Linked DNA regions of Coturnix japonica. The protein of the gene in region 1 purifies or fractionates together with the protein of each later gene. This does not show direct contact. Links are inferred from orthologs where the notes say so. Each region holds a gene or a part of one and is shown on either strand. Other genes may lie near its edges.

The links.
Region 2: the proteins of E2F1 (region 1) and PSMD14 purify together in Homo sapiens (affinity purification with western blotting; 3 studies listed by BioGRID). This does not show direct contact. The link is inferred for Coturnix japonica from reciprocal best matches to the Homo sapiens genes E2F1 and PSMD14.
Region 3: the proteins of E2F1 (region 1) and RBL2 purify together in Homo sapiens (affinity purification with western blotting; 3 studies listed by BioGRID and IntAct, with this or other methods). This does not show direct contact. The link is inferred for Coturnix japonica from reciprocal best matches to the Homo sapiens genes E2F1 and RBL2.
Region 4: the proteins of E2F1 (region 1) and TRRAP purify together in Homo sapiens (affinity purification with western blotting; 3 studies listed by BioGRID and IntAct, with this or other methods). This does not show direct contact. The link is inferred for Coturnix japonica from reciprocal best matches to the Homo sapiens genes E2F1 and TRRAP.
Region 5: the proteins of E2F1 (region 1) and KAT2A purify together in Homo sapiens (affinity purification with western blotting; 4 studies listed by BioGRID and IntAct, with this or other methods). This does not show direct contact. The link is inferred for Coturnix japonica from reciprocal best matches to the Homo sapiens genes E2F1 and KAT2A.
Region 6: the proteins of E2F1 (region 1) and SKP2 purify together in Homo sapiens (affinity purification with western blotting; 6 studies listed by BioGRID). This does not show direct contact. The link is inferred for Coturnix japonica from reciprocal best matches to the Homo sapiens genes E2F1 and SKP2.
Region 7: the proteins of E2F1 (region 1) and SIRT1 purify together in Homo sapiens (affinity purification with western blotting; 3 studies listed by BioGRID and IntAct, with this or other methods). This does not show direct contact. The link is inferred for Coturnix japonica from reciprocal best matches to the Homo sapiens genes E2F1 and SIRT1.

What each region holds. Positions count from the first base shown.
Region 1 is NC_029535.1:1,933,434-1,937,676, reverse strand, and holds the start of E2F1 (transcription factor E2F1), read right to left. Parts: upstream 2,996-4,243; 5' UTR 2,981-2,995; coding exon 2,789-2,980; intron 2,521-2,788; coding exon 2,430-2,520; intron 2,169-2,429; coding exon 1,949-2,168; intron 1,808-1,948; coding exon 1,655-1,807; intron 1,508-1,654; coding exon 1,393-1,507; intron 1,307-1,392; coding exon 1,114-1,306; intron 544-1,113; coding exon 296-543; 3' UTR 1-295. UniProt on the Homo sapiens protein: Transcription activator that binds DNA cooperatively with DP proteins through the E2 recognition site, 5'-TTTC[CG]CGC-3' found in the promoter region of a number of genes whose products are involved in cell cycle regulation or in DNA replication.
Region 2 is NC_029522.1:25,310,513-25,314,078, reverse strand, and holds the end of PSMD14 (26S proteasome non-ATPase regulatory subunit 14), read right to left. Parts: intron 2,766-3,566; coding exon 2,703-2,765; intron 1,065-2,702; coding exon 966-1,064; 3' UTR 638-965; downstream 1-637.
Region 3 is NC_029526.1:4,008,806-4,012,515, forward strand, and holds the end of RBL2 (retinoblastoma-like protein 2), read right to left. Parts: intron 3,382-3,710; coding exon 3,217-3,381; intron 2,843-3,216; exon of another isoform or gene 2,740-2,842; intron 2,465-2,739; coding exon 2,294-2,464; 3' UTR 545-2,293; downstream 1-544. UniProt on the Homo sapiens protein: Key regulator of entry into cell division. Directly involved in heterochromatin formation by maintaining overall chromatin structure and, in particular, that of constitutive heterochromatin by stabilizing histone methylation.
Region 4 is NC_029529.1:1,461,987-1,465,698, reverse strand, and holds part of TRRAP (transformation/transcription domain-associated protein), read right to left. Parts: intron 2,545-3,712; coding exon 2,360-2,544; intron 338-2,359; coding exon 134-337; intron 1-133. UniProt on the Homo sapiens protein: Adapter protein, which is found in various multiprotein chromatin complexes with histone acetyltransferase activity (HAT), which gives a specific tag for epigenetic transcription activation.
Region 5 is NC_029542.1:4,445,330-4,449,717, forward strand, and holds the start of KAT2A (histone acetyltransferase KAT2A), read right to left. Parts: upstream 2,876-4,388; 5' UTR 2,849-2,875; coding exon 2,615-2,848; intron 2,322-2,614; coding exon 2,198-2,321; intron 2,101-2,197; coding exon 1,955-2,100; intron 1,812-1,954; coding exon 1,722-1,811; intron 1,384-1,721; coding exon 1,202-1,383; intron 1,125-1,201; coding exon 933-1,124; intron 836-932; coding exon 729-835; intron 640-728; coding exon 532-639; intron 456-531; coding exon 319-455; intron 214-318; coding exon 1-213. Other genes in the region: heat shock protein 30C-like, read right to left, coding at 3,698-4,300. UniProt on the Homo sapiens protein: Protein lysine acyltransferase that can act as a acetyltransferase, glutaryltransferase, succinyltransferase or malonyltransferase, depending on the context.
Region 6 is NC_029547.1:10,073,977-10,077,539, reverse strand, and holds the end of SKP2 (S-phase kinase-associated protein 2), read right to left. Parts: coding exon 3,552-3,563; intron 2,924-3,551; coding exon 2,816-2,923; intron 2,247-2,815; coding exon 2,036-2,246; 3' UTR 525-2,035; downstream 1-524. UniProt on the Homo sapiens protein: Substrate recognition component of a SCF (SKP1-CUL1-F-box protein) E3 ubiquitin-protein ligase complex which mediates the ubiquitination and subsequent proteasomal degradation of target proteins involved in cell cycle progression, signal transduction and transcription.
Region 7 is NC_029521.1:8,463,878-8,467,589, reverse strand, and holds part of SIRT1 (NAD-dependent protein deacetylase sirtuin-1), read right to left. Parts: intron 2,869-3,712; coding exon 2,682-2,868; intron 1,469-2,681; coding exon 908-1,468; intron 1-907. UniProt on the Homo sapiens protein: NAD-dependent protein deacetylase that links transcriptional regulation directly to intracellular energetics and participates in the coordination of several separated cellular functions such as cell cycle, response to DNA damage, metabolism, apoptosis and autophagy.

The DNA.
Region 1 (4,243 bases):
ACCCAATGGGGACCCCTTGCTCCCCAGCATCCTCCTCTTGGGACAGGAGTAGGCCCCAATGTGGGCTCAAGCACCAAGCTGGGCTCTGTCCCATCATGGCACAGAGATGCCGGATAGGAGGGAAGAAAATATTGCAGAGGGGACGGATGGAGGGGGCCCAGGGCTGCTGCAGCACAGGGACCCCAGGAAGGCACCAGAGCCACACCAAGGCACAGGGCACCACGTGGCTGTCCTCAGCCCTGCCTGCGTCCCCCCCCTTGGCAGTGGGATAGCTTCTGAAATCAGGACAAGAGCCTCAGAAGTCCAAGTGCGTGAAGTCCCCAAAGTCACAGTCAAAGAGTTCACTGATGCCCTCACCCTCCTCCAGGCCGAAGTGGTAATCCTGTGCCTGTGGTGGTGACAGGGCAATGAACTCATCCGCCAGGAAGCCCGAGAAATCGTCCTTGGCCTGCTCCAGAAGGGTGTCCATGGAGGCCAGCGGTGACAGGCTCACATCCTCTGTGGAGCACTTGGAGGGCAGTGCTGTGCCTGGTAGCAGTGCTTCTGTGGGGACAGAGCGAGGCTGTCAGCCCCACAGCACACACCAGAACTGCTGTGTTCTAAGCTACTGAGGCCATGCAGATGGCACACAAAGCATCAGGAGTGATCAGAAACATCCAGGCCAACTGGGCAGCGTGACTCAGACCACTTGCTGAGTGGTGGGACAAAGAGGGACAGTGTCCTTTCCTAAGCAGAAAGATCCAGGGCTGTCTCTGCCAAGCTTGGGTAGGAGCAGAGCCCACAGCTGGGTGGATCACAGAATACCCCAATTTAAAAAGGACTCGCTCATAAGGATCATTGAGTCCAACTACTTGGCACTGCATGAGCATGGAGGTCAGGCTCCTCCTAACACACAGCCAAGACCTCAGCCCTGTAACCTCGTGCTCCTGGAACTGGAACAACAGTGATAACACTGTCCCCACACCACAGAGCCCAGGCAGTGCCCCCATTCCATTCCATTCCCATCCCATCCCATCCCATCCCATCCCATCCCATCCCATCCCATCCCATCCCATCCCATCCCTTCCCATCCCATTCCCATCCCATTCCCATCCCCATCCCCACCTTGCTCACCAGGCAGCAGCATGTTGACATCCTGAGCAGGATGCAGGAGCGGGGAGGCTCTCTGCTGCGATGAGCCAGGGGACAGCTCCTCAGCAGGTGCCTTGAAGGGGCTCTTGACGGGGCTGCAGACCCCTGAGCTGTCCTCGGGGCAGAGGAACACGTCGATGGGGCCCTGAGTGCTTTTCACTGAGACCTGGAAAGCCTGGGGACAGGAGGGACATGGAGTGCCAAGGTGGAGTTGTACCGAGGGCTGTGAAGATCCATGGGGAGGAGAGACCCCTCACTCACCTCTGCCGGGTCTGAGACTTGCAGCTGGGTCTCTGGGGGTGCCTTGATAACCATCACCATTTGCTCAGAGGGGTCCACAATGCTCCGAAGGTCCTGGCAGGTGACGTAGGCTGCGGTGCGGCGGGTCAAGGAGCAGACACGGGGCCACATTCACACCCAAAACCCCACACAGTGACCATAAGTGTCAGAGCAGGGGGGGGCTCCATTCCCCAACAGCTCTCCAGCCCATCCAGCCCCATCCCGGCCCCGCACCGAAGGATATTGCTGGTTGGAGGGATCCTCGGTGAGCAGCCGCAGCTGCACCGTGCACGTCTGGATGAGCTCGTCCAGCTGCCGTTCTGCCGCCTGCAGATCCCGCAGCTCCTTCTCCAGCAGCTGCTGTCGGCTTGAAGCCCCCGCGGCCACCTGGCTGCCCCTGGGGTACACAGGGCTGTCACCCCCAGCACTAACACCCCACTGCTGCCATCACCTCCCGATCTCAGGGTGGAACCCAACCTCCCTCCCTCCACCCAACCCTGGCAGCTTCGGTGTTATCCCCCCACCCTGATGGACATACATCCACTGGATGTGGTTCTTGGACTTCTTGCGGATGAGCTGGATGCCCTCCAGGACATTGGTGATGTCGTAGATGCGCCTCTTCTGCACCTTCAGCACCTCGGCCGCCCAGTTGAGATCCACCACACCATCGGGGGATTGGCTGAGCAGCTCCAGGAAGCGCTTGGTGGTGAGGTTCAGTGAGGTTTCATAGCGGGATTTCTCCCCAGGAGACTTTGCCCCTGTTGGGGACAGGTGCAAGATTCAGCCGTGGGGCGCGGGGCAGCCCCAGCACCGCCACACCCGGCAGGTGAGCAGCACCCGGCAGCTGCTGGCAATGGGAAGCTCGGGGGATGGTGCTGCAGGGCCCCGAGACTGAGCCCTGACAGCGAGCAGCCGGGCAGGGCCCAGCGCTCTACGGGGACGGCAGGTGGCAGAGGGGAAGAGGGAGGTGACGAGGCCCATCCCGAAGGGCTCAGGCCGGCAGCACAGCGGGGCCGTACCTCTGCCGGGGATGCGGGCCCTGCCGCGGGCGGCGGGCAGGCTGTCGGCGATGTACTGGTGATCCGTCTCCAAGTTCAGCTTCCGCTTCACCTGCGGGACAGGGCGTCCTCAGCGCGGGGACGCGGAACGCACCGCGGCGGCAGGGCCGGGCCCCGGCCTGTGGGGGCAGCCCCGCGCAACGGCGCTGCCGGGCGGAAGGCGGCCTCGGCGGCGGCTTCCGGAGCGGCGGTGCCCCGCGCGGCCGGGCTCTGACGGGGGGGGGGGGGGGGGTCCCGCGTGGGCACCGCGACGTCCCGGCCCCGCCCGGCGGCCCGCTCAGCCCCGCTCAGCCCCGCTCCCTCCCCCGTCCCGCGGTTACCGGCGGGCGGCCCAGCGTGGGGCGGCGCGGCGCGGGGCCGGGCTGGGAGGGCTGCGGCGTGGCGAAGAGCAGGAGGTCGGCGTCGGGGCGGCAGCCGCCCGCGGGCTCCTCGGAGGCCGAGACGATGAGGAGGTGCGGGGAGGAGCCGCCCAGCAGCGCCGCCAGCCCCGCCGCGCCGCCCGCCGTAGCCATGGCTCAGGTGACGGGCGGCGCGGGGCGCGGGGCCGCGGCCGGGGCGGGGGCGCGGCCCATTGCCGGGCGCGGGGCCGATCCGCGGGGCCGTTCCCCAGGTCGTTCCGGGCCGTTCCGGGTTGTACCGGGCCGTGCCGGGCCGTGCCGGGCTGTGCCGGGCTGTCCCGCGCTCCGGCCCCGCGCGCCTTTGCGCGCCAAATCCTTTTTGCCGCGAAAGCGGCGCCAACCTCCCCGCGCCCGCCCATTGGCTGCGCCCAACGCCGAGCGCTGAGGCGGGGGTGCGGGGAAACCGTCTGATTGGTCGAGGTCGCCGGAGGGAGGGGCGGTGCCGGCCGCCCATTGGTTAAGGGCGGCGGCGGCGGACGCGCTGACAGGCGGCCAATCAGAACCGCCGAGCTGAGGCAGGAGCCAATCGGGAGGCGTCTCGGGGACGCGGCCGTGGCGCCGCGTGGGTGAGGAGCGCGGCCGGGCCTTAAAGGGGCCGAGGGCGGCGCGGAGCTGGTCCCGCGTGGGGTCACTCACAGACGGGTCTGAGCGCCGGGCGCTCCCTGCACTGCTGGGCTAGAGCTGCCCGTGACGCTGTGCGGGCTGCGGGGCTGAGCTGCGTGTCCGTGGCGGTGCGGGCGGTGCAGGGCAGGGCAGCCCATAGTCAAAGCCGCGGGACGTGGCGTGGGCGGCTCCCGCCGTCTGTATCCCGTGTGCGGGGCGCTGATAACCTCAATGTGCCTCCAACGGAGCCCAACCCACAGGGACATAAACACCCCCCCATCTCGGTACTGCGGGGCCGGAGTTGGAGCTGCGGCCGCAGCGGGGCTCAGCGGGACGGCCGGGTTAGCGCTGGGTGCGGGCGGTGCCTCACAGCGGGGATGTAGTGAACGCTGAGCGGTGTTTTGCTGCTCGTTCTTCCTGTGGCTGCGGAGCCCACGGCCCAGCCCTGCAGCACAGCACCGAACGGCAGCACCGCTCCGCTTGGCGGCGGTGAGCGCTGTTAATTAACGCTCGGCCCTTGCGATAACCCGCACCCCGGTCACGGCGATATCCCCGTTAGCGAGTGGTACGAGCAGCAGTTACACGCCAGATGCGGCCCGTTGGTGCCGCCCCGCCCGGACACACGGTCCCACCCGCCCCGGCTGCGGGGCCGTTCCGGGGCCGCGGGCTGTGAGCGGCAGCTGCGGCACCAGCTGCTCCCACCGCGCTCACAAAGGCCGGGGCAGCTGGGGGCAGCACGGGTTTGTTTTATTCCCCCCTCCCTCATTCATACGG
Region 2 (3,566 bases), on another chromosome or scaffold:
CCTGAGCTCCTACCCAAACTCAAAAGCACCCCCCTAAGCCGGTACTTGGCTTTGTCTGCCTTCAGCCAAGCAACCAAACCCACCCACCCCACGGGAAGCGTTTCCCTCTCCAGTCTGTGGAAAGGGTTTCAAATGTCGTATTCCAGCTGGGACTCTTTCCTTATATTTATACATACGGGCACCTCATGTACCTCCTCTTTCACAGGAGGAAAGGTTCCTATAACCTTAGAGCAGCCTCTGCCACTTCAGCGTTTATTCTCAGAATACTGCTATTTATGACACCACTGGTGAGCGTTGTGTGAATCAGTTATCAGCAGAACTGAATGCATTTTCTTAAGGTCAGTTGTCTTCTGTGGATATTACAGTTTGAATACTACTGAAAGGCAGTGCTTAGCATAATTTTCAGCATTTTGGTTTTTGTAAAGCCTTGGAATTCAGTGCTAATACCTTTTTTTTTCTATCTCAAAAAGAATATTTGGCAATCAATGGGAGCCAAGTTTCATTGGAGAATCTTCTGCCGTCCTAGCAACTACTATCTCAGTAGTGTGACAGTGGGCAGAAATGTGTTTCACCAGCATGTTTCATACATCATTAATTCCCCTCACTCTTTCACAAAGAAGATCTTCCAGAACTTAAGACAGGCTTGTAAATGTATTTTTATTATGTTGCAACAATCAAAATATATATGTACTACTGATTTTTTCCCCCAAATATTAAATGAAAATTTAATACATTTTTTGCCCACGTTGTGTTCTTAAAATGCTTTGGAATCTGTAAAGACCCTGATGTAAGGAAACCGAAGCAACTGCACAATTAGAGACTGGAGGGTGTTAGAGAACTGCACTTAAACTGCAAATGAAGTCAGATGTCTCTGTTTAACCAAATATAGCCTCAACAGTCTCTCTTTGTGAGTATTAGAAACAATAAACAAATATACACAGAAAGCATCACAAAAAGGAAATGGGTTATTTAAATACAACTGTATCCAACATAGCAGCTAAACATTGGACAATGTTTGAAGTCATCAGCACATCCACATGCTCTTCTAAATGACGTTTTGGGTCCTGAAACACAAAGGATGCAGTAAGAGAAATGAGTAAATCTCTGTGAACACTTTTAATTACATCATTGTAAAACCACTGCAAGTTAAGAGGCTGGTGATGCTCCAGAATGTTGCTTTCTAACTAGACTTATCATATAGGAATTCAGAAATTGCTTAGTCCACACCATCACTCAGAGTAATTGAGGACTGGTTTAGGAACTGCATTCCTATACAGCCTCTGAAGGTTCTCTGTACTCTGAAGGTGTACAACCACAACAGCTGTGAGTTTTAAGGACAAAACACAACATGAGGAATTCACCTCAGCTCTGGTACTCAGCTGTTTGCTTTCAGATACTTGTGCAAAACTGCAGCCTAGTCCTGTAAAGTCTTCAAGTAGTTGTATAGACCATGAGAAAATCAGCACACAAATACCCATAAAAAATAAACAGAGCTGCACAACATGATGTTTAAAGTTCTGAAAAATGCAAAGCTAAACCTGAGCAGCTGCCTGTTTACAAAATGTTCTATATAAAAGTTGCAAAGAAACAAAAACACATGGAAATTACTCAGTAATTTTATCAGGAAAAATGGCTTTTCTTTAAAAAGAACTTATTCAAAACAGATATTTTTCTCCCTCATATGTGTAATGATTTAAATGATGAGAGCTCAAATCATGTTTAAGATGACACCAAAGCTCTTAAAATACAACCTTTGTCACATGTTTTATTATATATACTTACGTTTGTGTAGGTGAGCATAAACTCTATTGTTCTGAATGCTACAGAAATACACGAGTGACTGAACAATAGTGTAGATGTGTTATGACATAGCAGCTAGAAGCTGACACATAAGAGCAATCCAGAATCCTTTAAATTCTTCTGCTATTAGTAATACAATAAATATTGGTTCTTCAAGGATGTACTGTTCAGTTATAAAGCTATTTCTTGTTTCTGTTGCCTTTCTTGAATTTTGAATGCAATCTCTTACCAACTTGTTTTGCTCATTTATCCTCTTTTTCCAGAGCAGCTTTTTCCCTCAGCTTTTAGGTTAAAATCATAAATGTAAGTATTTCTCTGTGAAGTCCTCTATCTCCGGGCATTGTAAAGAGAATGATTTGAATAGATGTTTTCAGTTTCATTTATGGTTCTAAACTGTTTCACTCCAATAACAATATGAAGCTATGCATCTTACTCGCACACGTGCATATTGGAGCTCAGCATTGACTGTGCTTATGAAGGAGGACAGGGTGAGCTGGCTCATTAGCCACGATAAGGTATAAACTACACTCTCATCTTTTTTTCAACATGGCTGTTCTTTAAAAGCCTTCATGGTTTTGACCTTTCTGACAGTACAGACAAGGATATCTTTATGCATCCCCTTGGAAAGGAGAATAAAAAGGAAAAACTACCAAATCTTAACAGCGCTCCTCAGCATCTAATACAAATGCACATGGAATGTGACTTGCTGATATTCTAATGATTACCTAAGGCCAAAAGCCACGCTGCTCCCTACACCCCAACCTTCAGCAAAAATAAATTCACTATTCAGAGCACTGAGAATATCTTGCATGTAGAAATAAAATCACCTACGCACAAGTAAGGAAATTAATATTTAGAATGAAGGAAGCGTATCATTCCACCTCTAATTCATCGCACCTCACCTGCTTGCCAACATTTTTTATTGCCAGCTGTTCAGGTGTCATCTTATCTTCTTCTTCAACAGCCTGTGAACGAAACACAGAAAAGGTCAATGTTTCAGATTTCATTTACTTTTTCCCCACGCCACGAGATTCTCAAATATATTTCTCTTTCACCAAAAAAATAAAAAAATAAAAATCAAACGGCAACACGTTTTAGAAAGTCAAAAAGAAAGTGCTTCAGCTTTTCAGCACACATAGGTTTAATTACCAAGTGTTGGCGCAAAAGATCAAGGCAAATAGTTTTATTGTCAGGTAAGCAAAATGGATTCACAAATCTCTTTTAAGCAAAAATGCTAAGTGAGGGGTATTGATAGTTAAAGATAAAAGTTAAAGTGGTACAGCAAAAAGCATGTTGCCTACATTGTTTCAACTGTTAGAGGTTTGATCACAAGTACATTTTATAAGTGCTTAAAGTCACCAATGCATTTTTATCATATTCTGTTGTCTTCAGACACAGTATCTGTACTATGTAAATCCATTAACTTACCTAGCAAATGTAATACTGAATTTTACTTTCAAGGGCTTTTTAGATTTAAGAAAAAAATTGCCTCTGTCAATAATGACAGACAAGCTTACTACTTCTGGAATGGTTATCTATGTCTAGTATTTTGAAAAGGTCAGTATTAAAACAGTACGGGCAACTGATTCTTCTTCCTTACAACCCCAATAATAATTTCCTTCTCTAAAAAGAACATGAAATTAGGCTCTAGAATCAATTCTGAATATTTACTACCTGCCTATCTACTGTGATGATAACAATAAACAAGCTTTCTTCTGCTATTCTGTAGTCTGGACAAGTAGACCTTAGCTGAAGGAATGAAGAGC
Region 3 (3,710 bases), on another chromosome or scaffold:
AAGATTGACGGATCACCTGTAAGCAATTCATGCACAAAAAGGAGCAGTTCCAGGAGCAAGGTAGGCAGACAGCACCCAGACTGCACTGAAGAAACAAACCCTTTCCTCCAGCAGTTGGCTGTTACCTGTCCTGCTACTGCTGGGAGTCAGTTAATGAAAAATGGACTGCAAATGTTTGAGCTTCAATCAGTACCTGACTTAAGCAGCATTTTAAAAACACTTGTAAAAGTAATTCTTGTAATTCTGATTTCTGTAAAGAATATTTCAGAAATAGGAAGAGAAGCTTCACTATTTAAGACTATGACTTAACAGAGGCAAGAATAGTAATTTTTTTTAGAGTGAGTAGTTAATGAAGCGCTGCCCCGTTACCTGACACCCTGAATGTCAATGTCTGGCTGAGGTTCTTGTGATTAAGTACATCATGAGCCTCGCAGAACCCAGCTATGTGCTATTTTGGTGTTTGTGCCATCAGATCAGCCCGAGCCTTTGACAGATGCACACTGGGTGTAGCTTTTGCTCTTATGAAGCTTTTTTTCCACACAAGCCTTATTATGAGTTCTTTATTGAAAAATACACTTGCAGTGTTTCATACAAATTAATGGAAATGGTACAGAATAACAGAATTGTCTGACAAGTTCATAAATATTTTTACAGAAACATCTACACCGCTGCTCCACTTCAGCCCTTCTTACACAGGTAAGAACTGAAGATGCTTTTATTTTACCTTAATTGATTTTACTGTGGAATTAAGTCTCAAATCTTTCCATTATTCAAAGGAGCAGGAATGAATGAGAACGTGGAGCTTTTAAGTTCTGCTTCCTTACAAAACCTTCTGGCATCCGTGTGTGCTAAATTTTACAAGTACAACAGCATTGTCCCCAGTTGTCATTAAAGATGAGTCAACTGGCACAGGGCAGTAGTTATTAGGAAAGGTCTAAGCATACCAACAGGGCTGGTATTGTAGAATTGATTAAAATTTAAACAATTAGTATGTCTAATTAATATACGCACTGCTTTCTTATACCATTAGCAGGGGAGAGATTTCTCCCAGGCAGCCTGATTCTGTCCATTAAAAAAAAAAACCCAGAACCTCTTCCTTTGTCCTTTATAACCACTCAGAAGCACAGTGTGCACCTTGAGGAGACTGAGGCCACCTTCCTTCTACTGAGGAAGGGAGGTTCCTGGTTCTGACTCTCAAGCAGAACCAGCTGAAGAAACAACAGAGGTGTATAAAATTCCTTGACCAAAGCCCACGTCCCTGGCCTCCTGCATTTGTTACTGCATGCACATAACGTTAAAATGAATTCTTAATGCCATTTGCTGAAGAAGGGGAGCTATGGGATGTCACGTTGAAAATAAATACAAGAATTGGATTGTTTCCGTGAAGAAAAAAGGCTGAAGTCAGCCTTTAAAAAGATATTCACATTTAGAAAGTGCCATTGCAAATATACAGCAACACTAATCTGCCTTAAAAACGATGCTTCACAGCCCTATCCAAAGTGCCACCTTTTGAACACGAGTTCACCTTAGAACATTGCACAGCTAAAAATGATGCGTGAATGGAGTTAGCTACTTCTATACAACAAGGTGCCCAAATGTTAAAGCAAAACAACGTGATGGATTTGGGGGCACACAAAGCATCCTGAATACAAAAAGAATCCATTCAGACAGCTTCCTTCAGCGCTCAAAAAGCTTATTCCTATCTTCCCTTTCCAAGCAGAAAAGGCTGGATGTTGCCAGACTATTGCTTATAAATCATTCTTTTTATGGCAGTACTTAATGTTTTATTTTTTCCTTTTTTTTTTTCCCCCAGAGGACACATTTGACTATGAGTGCCTTGGTACAACGCTCCCATGTTTGATACATATACAACTTCCTATTCCAAAGCTGAAAATGGTCAAGCATTGATGAAAACACTGTAAGTACACTGGTTGAGCAGATGGATTTAAATACCTGTTACAAGGCAGAAAGCTGTATGAGGGATACATTCTCCAAGCAATACAAAGCTTTGAACTGCCTTCTGAAGCCAAAGCCAGCAGGTAGATCACTTGCCTTCTGATCAGCTTTACAACAGACAGAGTGGAACTGCAGGGTTCAGAACGCATCCTCCCCATCCCCTGGCACTGGGGAAGCTCTGGCAGGCAGAGACTCTGTACAGCCCAGCAGGGACTGGTCAGCATGGCCTGGCAGGAGGAGCCTGATGCCTGTGCGGTCCTGCTGAGTCCGTGGGATGCTCTGAGCTGGCAGCCTGGCACAGCAGCACAGAGGTCCTACCTGTGCTGAGCCCCAGCCCTCAGTGGGACCCTCGGTCGTTGGCTACATCTTGCAGGCGGCGTAACAGAGCAGTGTGGTTTTCCTGACAGATCCGCTTCGCTGGCGCTTCACTGTCATCTTCTAAGAGAATGCCTCTCTTCTTTGTTGGAGTTTCTCCTGTTCTAATCATGCTGTTAATTTCCTTTAGCCTCTGGGGAGAGGTGGAAAAAACAATCTCATTATTGTAGCAACCAAAAAAGTGATGTTTTTGCTTGTCCCGTTACTGCAGGCTTACAAATGCCTTATTTTTGGAGCTGTGCACTGTACAGTGCTTTCTGTAACAAACTAACCCTTTTGACCATTGTACTGGTCCCACTACTGGAGTCTTTATCAAGGCTTCTGTGTAAGATTTTTGATGCTCTGCTGGTGCACATGGAGCTGGAAGGCCTTCCTGCTGTAGTTATGACATGTTATCCTACACCACAGGTACAGAATTCCTATCCTGAGTGAAGACATTGCGTGGAGAAGGCTTCTACTTAATGGTGGATGACTGGAGGTCATGGGATTCAGTCTGTTCCATGTTCGCTTGGTGAGTCTTTTTGTGCTAAGAGACCTTTTGCCTCACTACGTAGATAAGAGGGAATGACTACTTCATGTTTGACTCTTAGGGCCTTCATGCCACACATCCCATTATGTAGTGTCACTGATGTACCTTCTGGCTCTTTCATATGTACCATTATCAAGAATAGCTTTTAAAAGTACACAAGTACCTTGGATACCTCACTGCTCTCCAGCTTCTTAGATCTGTAGACTGACAAGCTGGAGACAGTCTGGTGACAGAGTACAACTTTAACAGTGTACACTAAAAGGAGTGTTGAGCAGTCTTTTCTAGTCTAACACATCCCAACAGAAAGGGCAGAACTAAGGATTTATAAAACCAAACTAAACGCCTTTAGTTCTTACCTTGGATGGGCTGCTGCTGAAATAATAGAATATTTTCTCTCGATGAGAGGGAGCAGGCACATTTTTGTGTGGCGAGATGTACACCGGGTGGTTCTGAGACAGCTGGACTCGGCGAGGAGAGCTGATTCTCACAAAGGGGTAGGGAGAGAGCGGAGGAGAATCTGTCTGCTCAGGAGGAAAAAGAAAACACTCAGCTGCAACGTAATCTCAGTGAGCCACCTGTAGTACAGTTGATGTAAGCTGGTCATCTTAAACATAGTGTAGATCTTTTTTTTCCTCCACTACAGCCATAGCTTTCCTTAGAACACGGCAGGATTTGTCATACAACCAGGTATTTTACTCCTTTTTAACTGTATCTGAGGCTGGTGGACATTGCTTGGTGCTGCATATTTCTGTGAGAAGAAACAGCAACTAGGCAGCAAAAGGGCTTAATATTTCAGCACCAGGTTATATCCTTGAACTGGAATTTTTGTCATAAATATTCCTTGAATTCA
Region 4 (3,712 bases), on another chromosome or scaffold:
AATCACATAATCAAATGAAAGCCTACTGAAACACAATTATATATCGCAAATCCCCTTTTTGACTCAATTCAAACTCTGAAATTTCCATTTGATCAAAAAAGACAGCGTGTAGTTAGGACAAAACAAAGCATACCTGAGCTATCTGCAGCATTTCAGGGTTGAGTCTGTTTAAATGAAAGATAAATTCTGCAAAGCCAATCAGGGCTAACTGAATAGTGAACATCTTTCGGAAGGTCCAGTAATCCGTGGCATTGGGGAATGTATGTAAAGCCCACTCCTTAAGCATACTGCGTGGCACCATGTTACTCTGCACTTCTTTAAGTATATCTCTGAGAACCTAAACATGAAAAATGTTATTTGAAAGAGATCATTTTTAGTGCAATTTTTAGCAACAATTATGCCCAAAGCAACTACCAGACTTCACTGAACTGCTGCACACCACTGGGGGAAAACATCCCGAACTCCAACACTCTTAATCCAACAGCATTTCCTGATTTCCTTACCAGGATACACGACGCTTTGTAAGTCCAGCCCCTGCAAAGCTGCCAAATAACCTCCGTCTTACAAGACTCCGATTTTAATAAAACCAAATAAGCTGAAGATCTACAGTCAGTCTGACATGAGAAAATCCAAGTTATGCACTGATTGAAGTAGCTTCAAAGCTTTCAAGAAAATCAGAAGCAAACTAAAGAGACATTCAATCACAGTGCAGCACCTCCTTAAGGCAAACTAATGGAACACACTCCACTCTCTTTAGGCTTCAGTGCAAGGTGGATTATGCATTTGTCAGCAATAAAATAAAACCCTCTGCTTAAGTCTGAATATTTGTATGTGTTAATAGTAACACTTATTTCCAACCTCAGGCACCAGGACGCTGAACACTACTGAAGGTCAGCAGCCCTGGAAGGAAAATACACATTTTCCATGGAACATCCTTGCAGTGAAAGATCTCCTTTTTGCATTGAAGGATGTAAACATCACTCAGCAATTAAGTGACAATCGTTATGGAGCCTACCTAGTTAATTTTCCTGAATTTCAAAGGGTCTGAGATAGAAACCTTACATAAAATAAAGTCAGAAAGGTTGCTGCTCAGACTAACACATTACTGAGCAAAATGCTGACCAACAACAGTGACATGGAGTCTTTCCATATCTGGTCTGCAACAACTAAGAAGACTAGTAATAGCCTTGGTTGGTTCTCATTATCAGGTGATGGTAGCCTGTAGGCAGCACGAGGAGACAGATGGCAAAAAGAGAAGTACAAAAAAGTTACAGCAGCAATTAGGCAGAATTTTTGGAAGGCATTTGACAAACAAAAAAGCATAATGACAAGATGTGAAATTGCACTTGGGATCTACAAAGACCAAAACCTAAAACCTGGTGGTTTCTTTGCACACAGCATAGTTTACTGGAAAAGGTAACGTTAAAAGTGGAGAGAAAAACTGAGAGATGTACTCATATAAATATGTGAACAATAAGTAATAATTTTTCCCTTAATGTAAACATACAGTTTACCAAAATATTTCATTACTATAGCACATCCTAGCCTAATTAAATAGAAAATGGAATGGAGCTAGAATGTTCTACTGCACCAGAGTGACAGTCAGACTGACTTCAGTTCCACGACTGTTGAAGAGTTTCATAACCTGAAGAAAAAAGTCCTCAAAATAGAAGCAGATGTTACATAACTCTTCGTTTTCTTTTCTAACAGAAAACATTCTCCAGATGATGTCTGTGATATACCGTGTATTTTCTAATAGCTGTATTTGATGCGGGACTAGCATTTGATATAAGAATTTGCATTAACCTTGGGATTAAAAACTGTAAAGGAACCGTATTTATCAGAATTAGATGTTTGGTGGAGGTTAGAGGGGCAGAAGTTGCTGCTTCCCAAGTATTGTCACATATTAGGGTGAGATTAGCCTCTGTTCCTAACTGACCTGGGTGGGATGAACCCAGGGTCAGTTTTAGGATGAACACCAAAAGATGAGGAAATGGCACCACATAGCATTCTCCGCTTACACAAATTAGGAACATGAAATAGGAATGCTTTTCCCATGTCATCAATTCATTATTTACAAAGCATTATACAAAAAGGACCTAAAAGTAATGAATCCTTCACCTGCTTCCAGCTGCAGTTCCCAAATACAAATACAGCTTTTTGGAGGCTTTCAAAGATACTCCAAAACGCCAATGAGGTATGAGAACTCCCAACAACACTTATAGTAAAAACAAAACGAATGCAAACCACCTCCTTAGTGAAATACCTCCAGCCCCTACCTAATGGGAGGGAGCTGAACGCGCTGTAGCAAAGTCCTCAAGAAATAACCCTCATGAGAACTCGTTCTATGTTCTAATACCTGGTGGCTAGCTTGAGTCCCCCGTGCTTGCACCGTTGCCAGCCTGTCATAGTATCGAGAAATAGGATTGTCATGCTCAATGCCCTTCTTGGCGCAGCGCTGCTTGTAGATCTCCACCAGAGACAGAGAGGAGGGATTGTCTTCGACCAGACGCATCTGCGGAGAAACGGCCACGACGCGCGGCACTGCAGTGGGCAGAGAGGGCAACAAAACACAACAGTCAGTTCCCAGCACTCAGAGAAGAGCACGAGCGTGCAGCCAGCAGCCCTTCACACCCTACCATAGTAATCAGCTGAAGGGCATCAAGAGAAAATGGTTCCAACTATGCTCATTACTAATTCATGAGCTCAGTTAAAAAGAAAGCAAGGCAGTTTTGTTTTGTTTTAAGTTTTATCTAAGCAGAAACATCTTTGCTATATTAGGAGAAAAAAAACCCAACAGTGAGCACTCCACCCTTCCTACTTTACCTGCAGAAAAGAGGGCAGTGTTTTGCTTTGCTGCAAACAGGTGGTGGTGATTACACAATGCTAGCATCATTTCAAAAACCATTATTCTGAAGAAGTAGTGAACTCAGTGCTGTGCTTAAAGTAATTCATAAAAACTGGGATAAAATCTACACATAGCTGAGGAACAGAAGTTTAGAGGGACAGCACAAGGGGGAAATGAAGTAAATTGTTCAACAACAAGAAAACTTAAAGCCAGGGAGGTTTTACTTCAGGAACTGTAAACCTGCAAAACCCCTATTTGCACACAAATGAATGGTGCTTCACAGATGTATCACTCCTGTGAGTCTTACATGTGCAGAACACGTGCACTCATGTCCAGAGAGAGGAGGCCTCTCCCAGCACAGCTGGTGAACCCGTGGGACTGCTGAGAGTGGCCTCTGGTCACCAGCAGAACGTTCTCTCATCGTTTCCCTCAGGATCTGTAATAACTAACCTCAGGAATACAGGAAAAAAATGTTCTTCAAATGCCCTTAAATTGTTTGATGCAATTTCTTCAATTGTAAAGAAACAAATGCATTCCACAGAAAGAGTGTTAATGAGCTCTTTCTTCTGGCCTGCTTCCATTACCCTCTGGCAGCAGAGAGAGGAATGTTCTTCAGGTTCTTTCAAATAGTATCAAACCACAAAGTACAGAATTATTTCCAAAAAGACTGCAGCTTAAAACCAGCAGTTTGAAGGAAAGCACGTTGCTTTCCTAATAGTGTTATATAAAGTACACGCCAGTGGCTTTTTTCTTTTTCTTTTCAGTCGTACCTCTCAAGGCCGTATCGACTGTATTTCTCACTTCTTGGCCTTGGAATGATGTAAGAGTGCCTTCACATACATAGATACTAAATTCACCCCTTGT
Region 5 (4,388 bases), on another chromosome or scaffold:
GAGGCGGGTGATGTACTCCTTGGGCATGCGGGGCAGCTGGTGGGAGAACACATTCTGCAAACCAACCAGCCACATCATGATCTTCTTGTTTGGCTTCTGCGAGAGCGAGTTGCCAATGACGTGGAACTCGATGATGCCGCGGCGCTCCTCCAGCCGGGCGGTCTCATCCCGCGCCGCGTTGGCCGACAACAGGCTGGTCTGCATAGGAGGCAGCTGAGCCCCCCCGGCCCCAGGACCTCAGAGCCCTCCAGGTGCCAGCACCCCACGAGCTGCGCCCCATTGCGATGCTGTTCCAATGTGCCCCCCCCTCCCCCATACCTCAGGGCCCAGCATGGCAGCGGGGTCGGTGATGGTCAGCATCACCTCGTTCACCAGCTCCATGGGGATGTCGCCCATCACGCGGATCCTCTTGGCATCCTCCAGTGTCAGGCTCTCAGGCAGCTTCCGTTTCTCCCCTGGGGCAGCAGCAGCTCGTCGGGCAGAGCCCCCATTGCTGGGCCGGAGCCGTTCCCATTCCCTGCACTGCCCTACCTGGCAGAGGCTCTGGCGTGCCAGTGTCCATGCTCGTGGCCAAGCTGCTGCTGCTGAGCTTCTTGCTGAAGAGCGGAGCGCTGGGCACAGTGACGGCACTGACGGTGGCTGCAGGAGAGCAGGCAGCCGTAAGTCTGAGGAATCCCCATCCACAATGCAGCCGTGACAGCACCGGCCCAGCCAACACCCCACGGTACCTGGACGTGACACCAGCTGGGCGCCCTCCGCAGCCGGCACAGTGAAATCTGCCTCCCATATGGGCGAGTTCTCCCCGTAGATCTCCTCCTCCAGCATGGACAGGAACCTGGCAGCAAGCAGCACACCGAGCTGGGTGCACACAGCTCCATGGGGAGCACAGGGGAAACGGCCGCGCAGACGGCAGCCCCGCGCCTGGCACCTACTTGGGGAAGTGGGTGAGGATCAGTGTGCGCTTCTCCGGCACCAGCTTGTCCTTCTCCACACGGAACTTCTCCAGCAGCTGCCGGCGGGTGACGGTGAAGATGGTCTTGAGGAGGCTGCGCCCAAAGACGTGCGTGGTCTCGTAGCGGGGCAGGCTGTCGCAGCTCTGCGGCACGTGGCAGTAGCACAGCCACCTGCGGGGGACAGTGCTGGGATCCCCCCTGCAGCAACACTGCTGGGAGACCCCCATGCAGAGGCAGCCCCCCCTCACCTGGTGTAGTTGACTTTGTAGGTGGCCACGTCGTCATTCTGCGAGCGCTGTCGGAACTGTGACGGCGTCTCCAGCTTCCAGTAGTTGAGGCAGAGCAGGAACATCTTGGAGAGCTCGTACATCGTCTGCCGCTCCTTGGGTGGGAGGTGGCTGAACTTGTACTGCACGAAGTTCAGGACCCCCTGGGGGAGAGGAGTGGGTTGGAGGGTGCCAGGGCCGGGGTCACTGCGCCACGGAGCCCAGCTGGCAGCAGGTACCTCCAAGATCCAAGCAGGAGGAATGGAGAGGTGGCAGGAGCAGAAGGGCCACTGCTGCCACCAGCACATACACACACACACACACACACACACACACACTCCCTCTTTTTCCACACAGTGACAAAGCTGAAAGCTCCATGAGTTTGCAGCACAGCACGTGGGGTCACCATGAAGCCAAATTGCTGCTGTGTCTGCTCAGTTCAGGGTTTTCAGCCCTGTCTGCCCACAGCCCAAGTCTCCAGCACAGCCCACAGCCGCCTCACCTGCTCGATGTTGGGTTTCTCAAAGGGGGGGCTCCCCAGGGACCCCTCGACCACCGGCTGGCTCATCTGCAGGATGCATTTCCTGAGGAGCTGCAAAGACCCCACGGGACACGTCAGCACCTCAATGCCCGCTCCCTTCCCAGGAGATCAGACACAGCAGCTCCGCAATGGGGCTGCACGGAGTGAAGCTGCCCGCAGGTGGGGCAGAGGGCAAACAGGACAGATGGACGCACCTTGAACAGGTAGAAATAGACCTGCTTGGTGTCCGTGTCCTCCTCCTTGTGCACCGACATGAAGAGGTTCTCCACGTCCACCACCATGCCCAGCAGCCGGTTGATCTCCTCCTCCGACACGTTCTCCAGGTGGGACACATGGTCGGCTGCGGCAGAGACAGCACGTGGTGAGATGGGGGTGGGCGCAGCGCCCCACGGTTGGGGGTCCCAGCGCCGTGCAGCCCCGGGGCTGTGTGCGGTTACCCAACGCGTGGCCGCAGCTGCGGCACGGCTCGCTCAGGTTGGTCACCGGCTGCTGCAGGTCCATGCGGGGGGCGGTGGGGGGGTTGGGGTTCTTCCAGCCGTTGCACTTGCAGGCATCGTTCGCCTGCGAGGAGGGACGGGAGAAACCATCGCACAGCCCCGCACAGCTCCGTACAGCCCCGCACAGCTCCGCACAGCTCCGCACAGCCCCGCACAGCCCCGTACAGCCCCGCACAGCCCCGTACAGCCCGGTACAGCCCCGTACAGCCCCGCACAGCCCGGTACAGCCCCGCACAGCATCACACAGCATCACACAGCCCGGCACATCCCGGCACATCCCGGCCCTCGGCGCCTCCGACCCCTCCAATCTCATCGTGCTGCTCCCCCGCCCCGCGCAGCCGGTTGCCCCGCGCCCACCTTGCAGGCCGAGAACACCCCCAGCTTCTCCAGCTTCTTGCCGCGGGGGAAGCCCCGCACCTGCGCCTTGCGCTGACTCGCCCGTTGCTGTTGGCTGAGCCCGGGCCGCGCCGGGTCGCTGGATCCCGCCCCTCCCGGAGCCGCCCCCCCGCTCCCCATCCCGCCGTTCGGCGGCGCCGCGGTTCCCGGTGCCGGTGGCGGCCTCCCGGGCTGCGCGGCCTCCGGCTCCGCCATGCCGGGCTCGGCGTGCGCTCCGAGCTCACTGCGCCTGCGCGCCGGGCACGCCGGGAGCTGCTGCGGGCGGCGGGGTGGGATGGGAACCGGGATACCGGGATACCGGGATGGGGACCGGGCAACGCACCGACGGAGGGGCGGGATGGCGGACGGGCACAAAGGAAGCGCCGCGGGATGACCATGGAGCCGCCGCTCGGAGCGCCCATCCCGGGGCTGCGCCGGTAACGCGGAGCCGACGCTCAGCGCGGAGCAAACGGGGGTCGCCGGCCCGGGGTCCGGTACCGGGACCGTGGGAACGGATCCGCCGCGCCGCCAAACACGGAGCGCGGCGTCACCCACAGCCGGGAAACAAGGAGCGGCCGGAGCCCGAATGTCCCGACACGGGGCGGCTCCGCCCGCAGCACCGGGGGGGCGGGTTTGGCCGAACGTCCTTCGCGGGGCGCCGCGCAGCGACTGGAACGTGCGAGCAGGGACGGGACGGGGCGGGGGGAAGTAATGGGGGGTGGGGAGGGGGGCGGCTGCTGTCCCCGCCCGGCAGCGCGGAGAACGTCCCTGCGCCTTCCCGAAGTGTCCGGCGCTGTCCCGGGGCGCTCCCCGTGTCCGTGTTGTTGTGCACGAGTGGCAGCGCTCCCTGTCCGTCCTCCTCCACCGGGGCGGGGTGAGGAGCTGCCGGGGATGCGCCCTTAGGGCGCAGTGCAGCTCCCGGGGTGACCGACCCGCCAAATGAACAAAGACACGAGCCGTGTATGTAAAAGTCAAGGAAGTTTATTACATATCAAAAATAAACCTTCACGCTTTGGCCACAGATCCCCCCCCGCACCGGGCTCAGCCCGGCCCCGCGCTGCTCCATCACGCCTTGGCTCTCTCTGCTCCATCCTCGGCGTTGGCCGCGGGCTGAGCCGCTGCTGCCGGCAGCTGGATGGGCACGTTCCTCTCGTTGGGTGGCGGCAGGGCCAGCCGGGGGGCCTCGATACGCAGCTGCCCCTCGCTGGACAGGGAGCAGGTCAGCGCCTCGGCGTCCACCTCCTCGGGCACGTCCCACTCGCGCTTCAGCACCTCGTACTTGTAGGAGAAGGAGCCCTTGTCGTCCGTGTTCTGCGTCTCCTTCTGCCCCACCAGCACCACCTTCCTGCCCACCACCTTCACCGACAGCTGCTCGGGGGCGAAGTCCTTCACGTCCTGGCAGACGGAGAATCCCTCCCCGGAGCCCTGGGTCAGAGCCGCGTTGCTGCTCGGTGCCCGCTCGATGCTGACGCGGTTGGAGCTGCTCCCGCTGCTCAGGAGCTGCTCGAAGCTGCTCATGAACTGCCGAGCTCTCTCCATCTCCATCCGTATCTCCCTCTCCAGCTCAGCGAAGAGGGTCCCTGGGTGCGGCCAGAGGGTGCGGACGGGTCCCAGCCACGGGAACAGAGACCCGGAGGTGGGCGGCATGAAGTGCAGGCGGCAAAGCATCTCTGCGGGTGCTGCGGCTGCTGCTGTTCGCAGGGCTGGAGCGGTGCTGGGCTGCCGCCGGGACGCGGGGTTTTATCCTGCTCTCCCC
Region 6 (3,563 bases), on another chromosome or scaffold:
GATCTATAATAGATAATCAGTAAGCAGCTACCTTTTTTATTAAAGAATTGTAAAATCCTTTGTTACAAAGGAAAGCAGTACAGACAACTTACCTTGTAGACAGTGTTCTGTGACAGGGCTGAGTATTGGTGTAACACTGATTTAATTGGCCTGGACTGGCACTGAACTCTTCTACCTGCTGAATCAAATCAAATCCATGGTGTCATCTTTTAGTGCCTGTCCACACTTGTGTTCTGCTATACTAAACATGTCATCTTTGCTTTTTTTTTTTTTTTTTTAAAGTTTATACATTATGTAATAAAATTAAAAGTTTAATAGATGCTTGAAGCTGTCCCAGGCCTGATTTCAACTTAAATATATACGTGTGTGTGTGTGTGTGCATGTTTAATGTGCTTGCTTTCATGTACTAAGCATGACATGATGATACCCTGTCATGTAAATCACAGTTGGTCAGGCACTGATTGAACAAGTTCCTGCTTTTTCAGTCACACCAAAACATGGGTGGCAAATCACTAGCCATTCTGTACAATATAGCAATTCCTTAGCTCTTTATTAAATGCAAAACAAGTTTCATGGGGTTACATTACACAGAGAGAGAATTACAAATAGATACACCTTTCCTCTTGAAGTAAACGTTTAAAGTAACTTAAGGCATGAATGCAAACAAGCAATTTTCCACACTACACAGTGAACTGTGTGTACTTATTACTGAGCTTTTTATCTTTGGACTGACTTTGGAAGACTCTATGCCTATGCAACAGCCCATTTACCACAATGGTATATCCCCTACTGTTGCTCACTGCTTGCAAGTTTTGTGCTAAGAGACTCTTCAGATAATGCTTACCCTCGTCCCTGGAACATGCCCAGCCCCCAGCTGGACTGGGGGTGGTAGTAGCCTGAGCCAGGTCCCTTCCCCCAGAGGTGTGGGCTCACTACATGTCCCTGGTCTTAGTTTGGTTGGGTTTTTTGGGTATTTTTTTTGCTTTTTTTGTTAGTTATTCAGCTTTTTTTGTGACAATGTAAACTCCTCCTGTTAGTGTTGAAAGATACAGGAAGTTAAATACTAGAAACTTAAGCTGAAAGAGAAATGGATGTCTCTTAATAGCCCCAAAGGAGCTCCTCTCAAAATTCTTACAGTGCAGCCCCAGTCTGTTGCTGCTCAGTTTCAGAACCAAGATACTTGCTCCTGCAAGCACTTTTTCCAATATACTACATACAGCTCAGAGACCCTATGTAAGAAGTTTTGAGATTATGCTCCTAATTTAAGCTCACTTAAGCACAGAAAAGCAACATGGAGTCCTGTTGAAAAACTTCACAGCAACTCAATTATTATTGCTTCTTATTCATACAGCATTGAGCTCTTAAGTGCTTTCCTGTAGACCTCCATTCCAATGCTTCCTTACTGTTTCCATATTCAGTGAATTCAGACTCACTTCTCTGTCCCTCTCCCAAACAGGATAGCTTCACATCTTAGTACAGATGTCACTCAGTTAATAATTTTAATTGCTCTGACAGCAGTACCTGATTTGAGTTTGGTAAACTCTAGACCAGCAGAATCCATTCAGGAGACATATAGTGTCTCCACTGAATTTTCCAGGAGTTGCAGAGCTGGAAGAGTTAATCGAAAGCACCTTTACAGCACCGCAGTACAACCACCGCTGCATCAGAACTTGCAGCAGTTCATAAAGGTTGTAACAGTTTCATGACAGTGATTGTTTCACAAATTCTTTTTTTTTTAAAGTAGCTCTCCTAAAACAAAAAGGTTTTTTCTTGTTTTCCTAAAACAAAAAGGTTTTGTTTTTTTCTTTTAAGTTCCTATAATTGCTCACAGATTGCCAAATTTCTAAAGGCTTTTTTTTTTTTTTCTTTTTCTTTTTTTTAAAGAATATAAACGTGTTTATAGAACTACGTTACGGCACAAGACCAAGATACGATACTTTATAAAAATGCAACTATGATTGGATGTGCTCTGACTTTCTGCTTCTCAAGGACCTTCACTACACAGTGCATCCACGGCATCCACCATACAAGACCGTTAGCCAATACAGTTTCTCAGTGACAATCTGCATTTGATACCCCAAATTTCATGGTTCCTTCTACTGCCAACAGTTGGCCTTGCAATAGTTGTGAAATGTGAACAATTGATCTTCACTTTAGGAAGTGTCTCCTTGAGGACCTGCAGGGAGCTATCAGACACTATTCCAAATACCTGAAGAGTCTTTAACGTTGGAATTTCACCAAGATCTCTAGAAAGAAAGAAAACAGGGAGAAGTTAATCATTATACTGAAGGCATTTTTTGCAGTCTACATCCAAACTAGATATACATGCTTTTACTCAATTTTTTAGGCTAAAGGCTTTGGTTTCTTACTTGAGGGCACACTTTTTGAGACACAAAACAGGATAGAGCTGAATAGTTGTAATAACGGAAGGCAGAAAAAAATGCCCTCAAGCAAATAACTCTGTGCTGTGCTTCGGTGCTAACCAATAACTGATGCAGGTGCAGAGAAAGGAAAGTTATACACAGATTCTGACAGTGGTCAGCAAGTACTGTCCATTCTGTTAACATTTCTGAAAGTAAGTTATTGCCACACAATTAAAAGCCTAATGCTGACAGATACTGAGACTGACAGGGCTGGCAAAGTAATGCCTTTAAACAGAGACATAAGGCACGCTAGTCTCCCCATTATTTTACTCCTAGTTTGTACCAGTAAGTTTATCAAAACAGTATTTGTACTTCTTAAGCCTAAAATAAAACAAGTTTAGAATTACTGATCCTCTGAATTAGTAAACCAAGGGCAATTAGGGATTACTTACACTAAGGCAGCAGGTGATATTTGGTAGCATCGGCTAAGACAGAGATGTTGCAGAAAGATGAGTCGATGAAAATACTGGAAACACTCCGGCTTCAACATCACACTGTCGCTGTACGAGAGTATATTAATTAGAAATTATTCTTTAATTGTAAAACAGAAGTAAATTTGATTTCAAATTTCTCAAGCTGAGAAGTATAATAAACATCAATTTGTTTTTCTGCCATTAGAGCAATTGAAGGGCAAATGAAGCAGAGATTCTCTGCAGGTAGGTTTTCTGCAGCAGAAGCCATAACAAGAAAAAGTAGTTACCTTAGAGTGAAATTTGAATATATATATATATTTTTTTAAATAAAATCAAAACAATTCTGTGGCCATGTAGTACAAGAGCTGAAAGAAACTCTCACTAGGGTACTATAAGCTCCTTAGCTTTGCATGTCCAAATGCTTCCTTTTTTTTTTTTTTTTTTACCTGTTGACTGCTATCATTTATTAGTGAACAAATCCTTTATGTACATACTATTTACACTGAGGTAAAAAAAAAAATGTTTAAGTTAGTTACTCTCTCCAGACTAAGTCAAAACAGATAGTATTTTTTTTCTAAGTTTAACCTAGGAAGCAACTTCTGGCTGTGCAATCCTACTCAGCTATTAATTACTGCTATACGGTTATTCAGAGCAGTATCGTTACCAACCCCCTGCACCATAAGGACTTGAGGACTGCCTGCACAGGAGTTCTTACCTTAGATCTAAG
Region 7 (3,712 bases), on another chromosome or scaffold:
TTTTTATTGGTACTTGTATTCACAGCTAGAATGCAACTGGTTGTACCATAGAATTGGTACCCAGCACACAGAGTGCTTGACAAAATTCAGACAGACTTTGCTTTAGGAAAACTGCAACTTAATCCTTGGTTCTCCATCCTCACTGACTTTGTAGCTCAATTACTTGTTACATCAGTTAACAGACTGCACAACGGAGGGCTTCTTTGGAAAGGCTGATGTTTCCTTTGGAATGTGCCTGGCTCCAGCTGTGTGATTTGCTTTTTGAATCTTGTGGTGACTTTGGTCCCTCACTGCTACAGAACAGAGTTGGGACATAGTGTTTAAAATGCCAAGATTGATACGGTTTTTCTGGAAACGCATTAGAAAATGTAAGACAGGTGTGTTTATTTTTGATACTTAGCTTCTGCCTCTTGGACTCTGATCTTTCTAGGGAGTTTGTAGTCACAGAATCACAGAATGGCCTGGGTTGAAAAGGACCACAAAGATCATCCAGTTCCAACTCCCTGCTGTGTGCAGGGTCTCCAGCCACCAGACCAGGCTGCCCAGAGCCACATCCAGCCTGGCCTTGAATGCCTCCAGGGATGGGGCATCCACAACCTCCTTGGGCAACCTGTTCCAGTGCACCACCACCCTCTGGGTGAAAAACATCCTCCCCTGTCTCAGTTTAAAACCATTCAGTAATCACTGATTATAAAATCAATTCTCAATTAGAGTTTTCCTGTTAGCTCCTCTGAAAGAAATAAACTCTGCATTGACAATAAAAAAAGTAGATACTTTTCTGAGCAGAAATAACCACAAAAAAAACCCACTGATTCCCTCAAGGGCAACTTATTTATTGCTTTAAAGGAAGTCTAGAATAAACACGTAAGTCAAAATCTGCAAGAGAATGAAGTAAGTTAACACTTACCATCCAGCCTTTTGCTAATCTGTTCTTTTGCAGCTCTGTTTGCCCAGCACTTCTTCACTATTTCATTTTTGTCTTTGCTTTCTCCATTGTTGGTTCCATTTTCCTTCATTGTTTCAGAGTTCATTAATTCACTAGAAGTATTTTCAGGGTTTTCAGAGGATGCCTGTGTGTCTTGAAGCTTTTCCTCCGTGCAGATCCCTTTAGTTTCAGAGGCAGGATCACAGTTTTCTACCTTACATTCAGCTGCGTGTTCTGAGGGTGCCACCGAAGTATCCGGTGGAGTCATTTGTTCTGGTGATCCAGAGTCTTCTGAAATGTTTAAGGGTGTAGGCGGCAGCTCAGCTGAGTGCATTTCCAGCTCTCTGTGCATTCGTGGAGGCTTTTCTGTTATTTCTGAAAGTTTTACTGAGTTGTAGCAAAGTTTTGTATATTCACTACCTAACCTTTGACATAATTCATTAATAATAACATCACAGTCTCCAAGAAGCTCCACGTCAAAGTGTAGATGAGGCAGAGGTTCCCTATTAATTAAGATCTGAGGCACTTCATGAGGGATGGAACCTAAAACACAGAGAAGACAGTTTGAGGACAGGCATTTTGGTTTTACTTTCTACCAAAGGTCTTCCAAAAAGACTTCATTTCTCAGAGATGTCTTCGAGGTCTGTCCGAAGACAAGCAAATCTTGAATGTAACAAAGCTGAGCGGCAGTGTGAGGTGCTGTGCCTGTGTAGTCTATCTAGATTTCCCCGTTTCTTGCAGTATAAGGTGTTCTTCTATTTCACCACTAAGAAACCCGTGCGCAAAAATGTTGACTACGGCAATGTTTGGTCACGTGTTATTACAAGATTATTACAGTACTGTAATTTCTTTGAAGGACTGCAGTGATCTTGTACATTCATTTGATGCACTTCAGTGCGCACAAAGAAGGTACTGTTGTTAACTGACTTTCTCTTAATTAGGTCAGAATATCTGCAGGTACAGTCTGTGATGTAAGGGTTTGCTTAACACATCTGGGGCTCCAAAACCCCACAATCTGATAGCCTGGTATTGACTGGTTCTTCAGATAACCAACTAATGAAATTCAGTTTGTGGATGGAGCAGTGATTTGTGGATCCTAACTTTCCCATCAGCCTGAACACAAGGCTCTACCTCTTGTATAAAGAAAAGAGGGTGTTACTACAGAAGTGCTGGATGTGGCTCTGTCCCCACTGAGCAGCAGATGGTTGGTGCAGGCCCTTCTCAGGCTTGAGTGTTAAAAGTGCAAGTTAAGTTGTGTGTTTAATAGGCAAATAATTAACCTGCAATCATATTTTCTCAGACCTCCTGAAGGACTTATTTTGTAGTAGCACGGATAGTTTTCCTTATCACCTTTAAGAAGTAAGGACCCAAGTGGCTGTACACTATGTACTGCCTACTATGTATTGTTTAGCACATTGACTTTAATTACTGCTTAAACACCTGATGTACCTGTTCCATTTTCTTTTTTCTTTTCTTTTTTTTTTTTTTTGACACTACATTTATCTTTTAAAAGACAATTACTCTCTAAATCTCACAATTCCAGAAGCATATTATGAACAGGGAGAGAAATACATTCGTCTCAGAACAAAGACATTTAACTTTTAGCGCAGTGGTTCTCTGGCTTATAGATTTATTACTTTGAGATCTCTCCTCTGGCTTAAGTGTAGAAAAAACACTCAGAACTGGAACTCTTAACTGAGAATTTTAATTTCATCCCATTTTTTGAAAGAAGAAATTTCCAATGTGAGTCACTTACTTGGAATCAATGCTACTGGTCTTACTTTCAGTGAAGACCCAATGACAATAAGGAGATCGACTTCATTTTTGTCGTACTTCATGGCACGATGGAACTGCTCAGGTAAATTCTCTCCGAAGAACACTATGTCAGGCTTCATGATAGCAAGTGGCTCATCAGGCGGACAGCGAGGACATCTAGGAACAACCTGCAATAGAGCAGCTTGTATCACTATTGAGGCTTTTAAGGTGCCACAGATTTTAGCAATGCACAGTGACTTATTCTGGTGTAAGACAGAAGCTTCAGTGATATTTCCTCATTTATTTTTTTCCTGTGAATGAATGCATTTCTTACTCTACTCTGCACACAGAACTACATTGGGAATGAAGGAGTCTTTTTATGTCAAAATGGAGAAACAAAGAAAGTCTACACCTCTGTTCTTAGCAAACAACTAAGCCAAAATCTACGTGTCATACTCAGCACTAATGTGTAATCACCTCCTAGTGGAAAGGAAGATAATTAATTGGTTTAATCAGAACAAAAGCTTTACTTTCACTATCAGTTTCCATTATACAATCTGTTATGCACCCCTTCCTAATCAAACAGCATGTTATAGAGCATTACCTCTCTGCTTTCTCTTCTCCAAAGAGAGAGGTTGCATGAAGTAATGTGGCGCTGTAGCAAGTGGCTAGCAAAAGCACACAGAACAAGAACAGGGGAGGAGCTTTTGTGTGGTCTCCCTTTTAAAATTTCCCAATTCTTCTAAGAGCAGAGCGATAGTAGATGCTGGTTATGCTCATGGAGAAGCAGAGTCCTTTTTCTCTTGAAACCACAGGGTTTTCTGACCTTTTTGACCTCTTTCAACTTAATACTTTTTCAAGGAGAAGAAAAGCAAACAGGTGAGCGATGCAAATATAGACAGACAGGGCTTTACTACTGAGCAAATTATTTTCTCAGCTGTAGTCTCTAAAGTAAAATACCCCAGAATAGACCTAAAGAGTTAAATACAGCTACAGTCCTACAAGCAAACTAGTGCTTTATAAAGACATAAA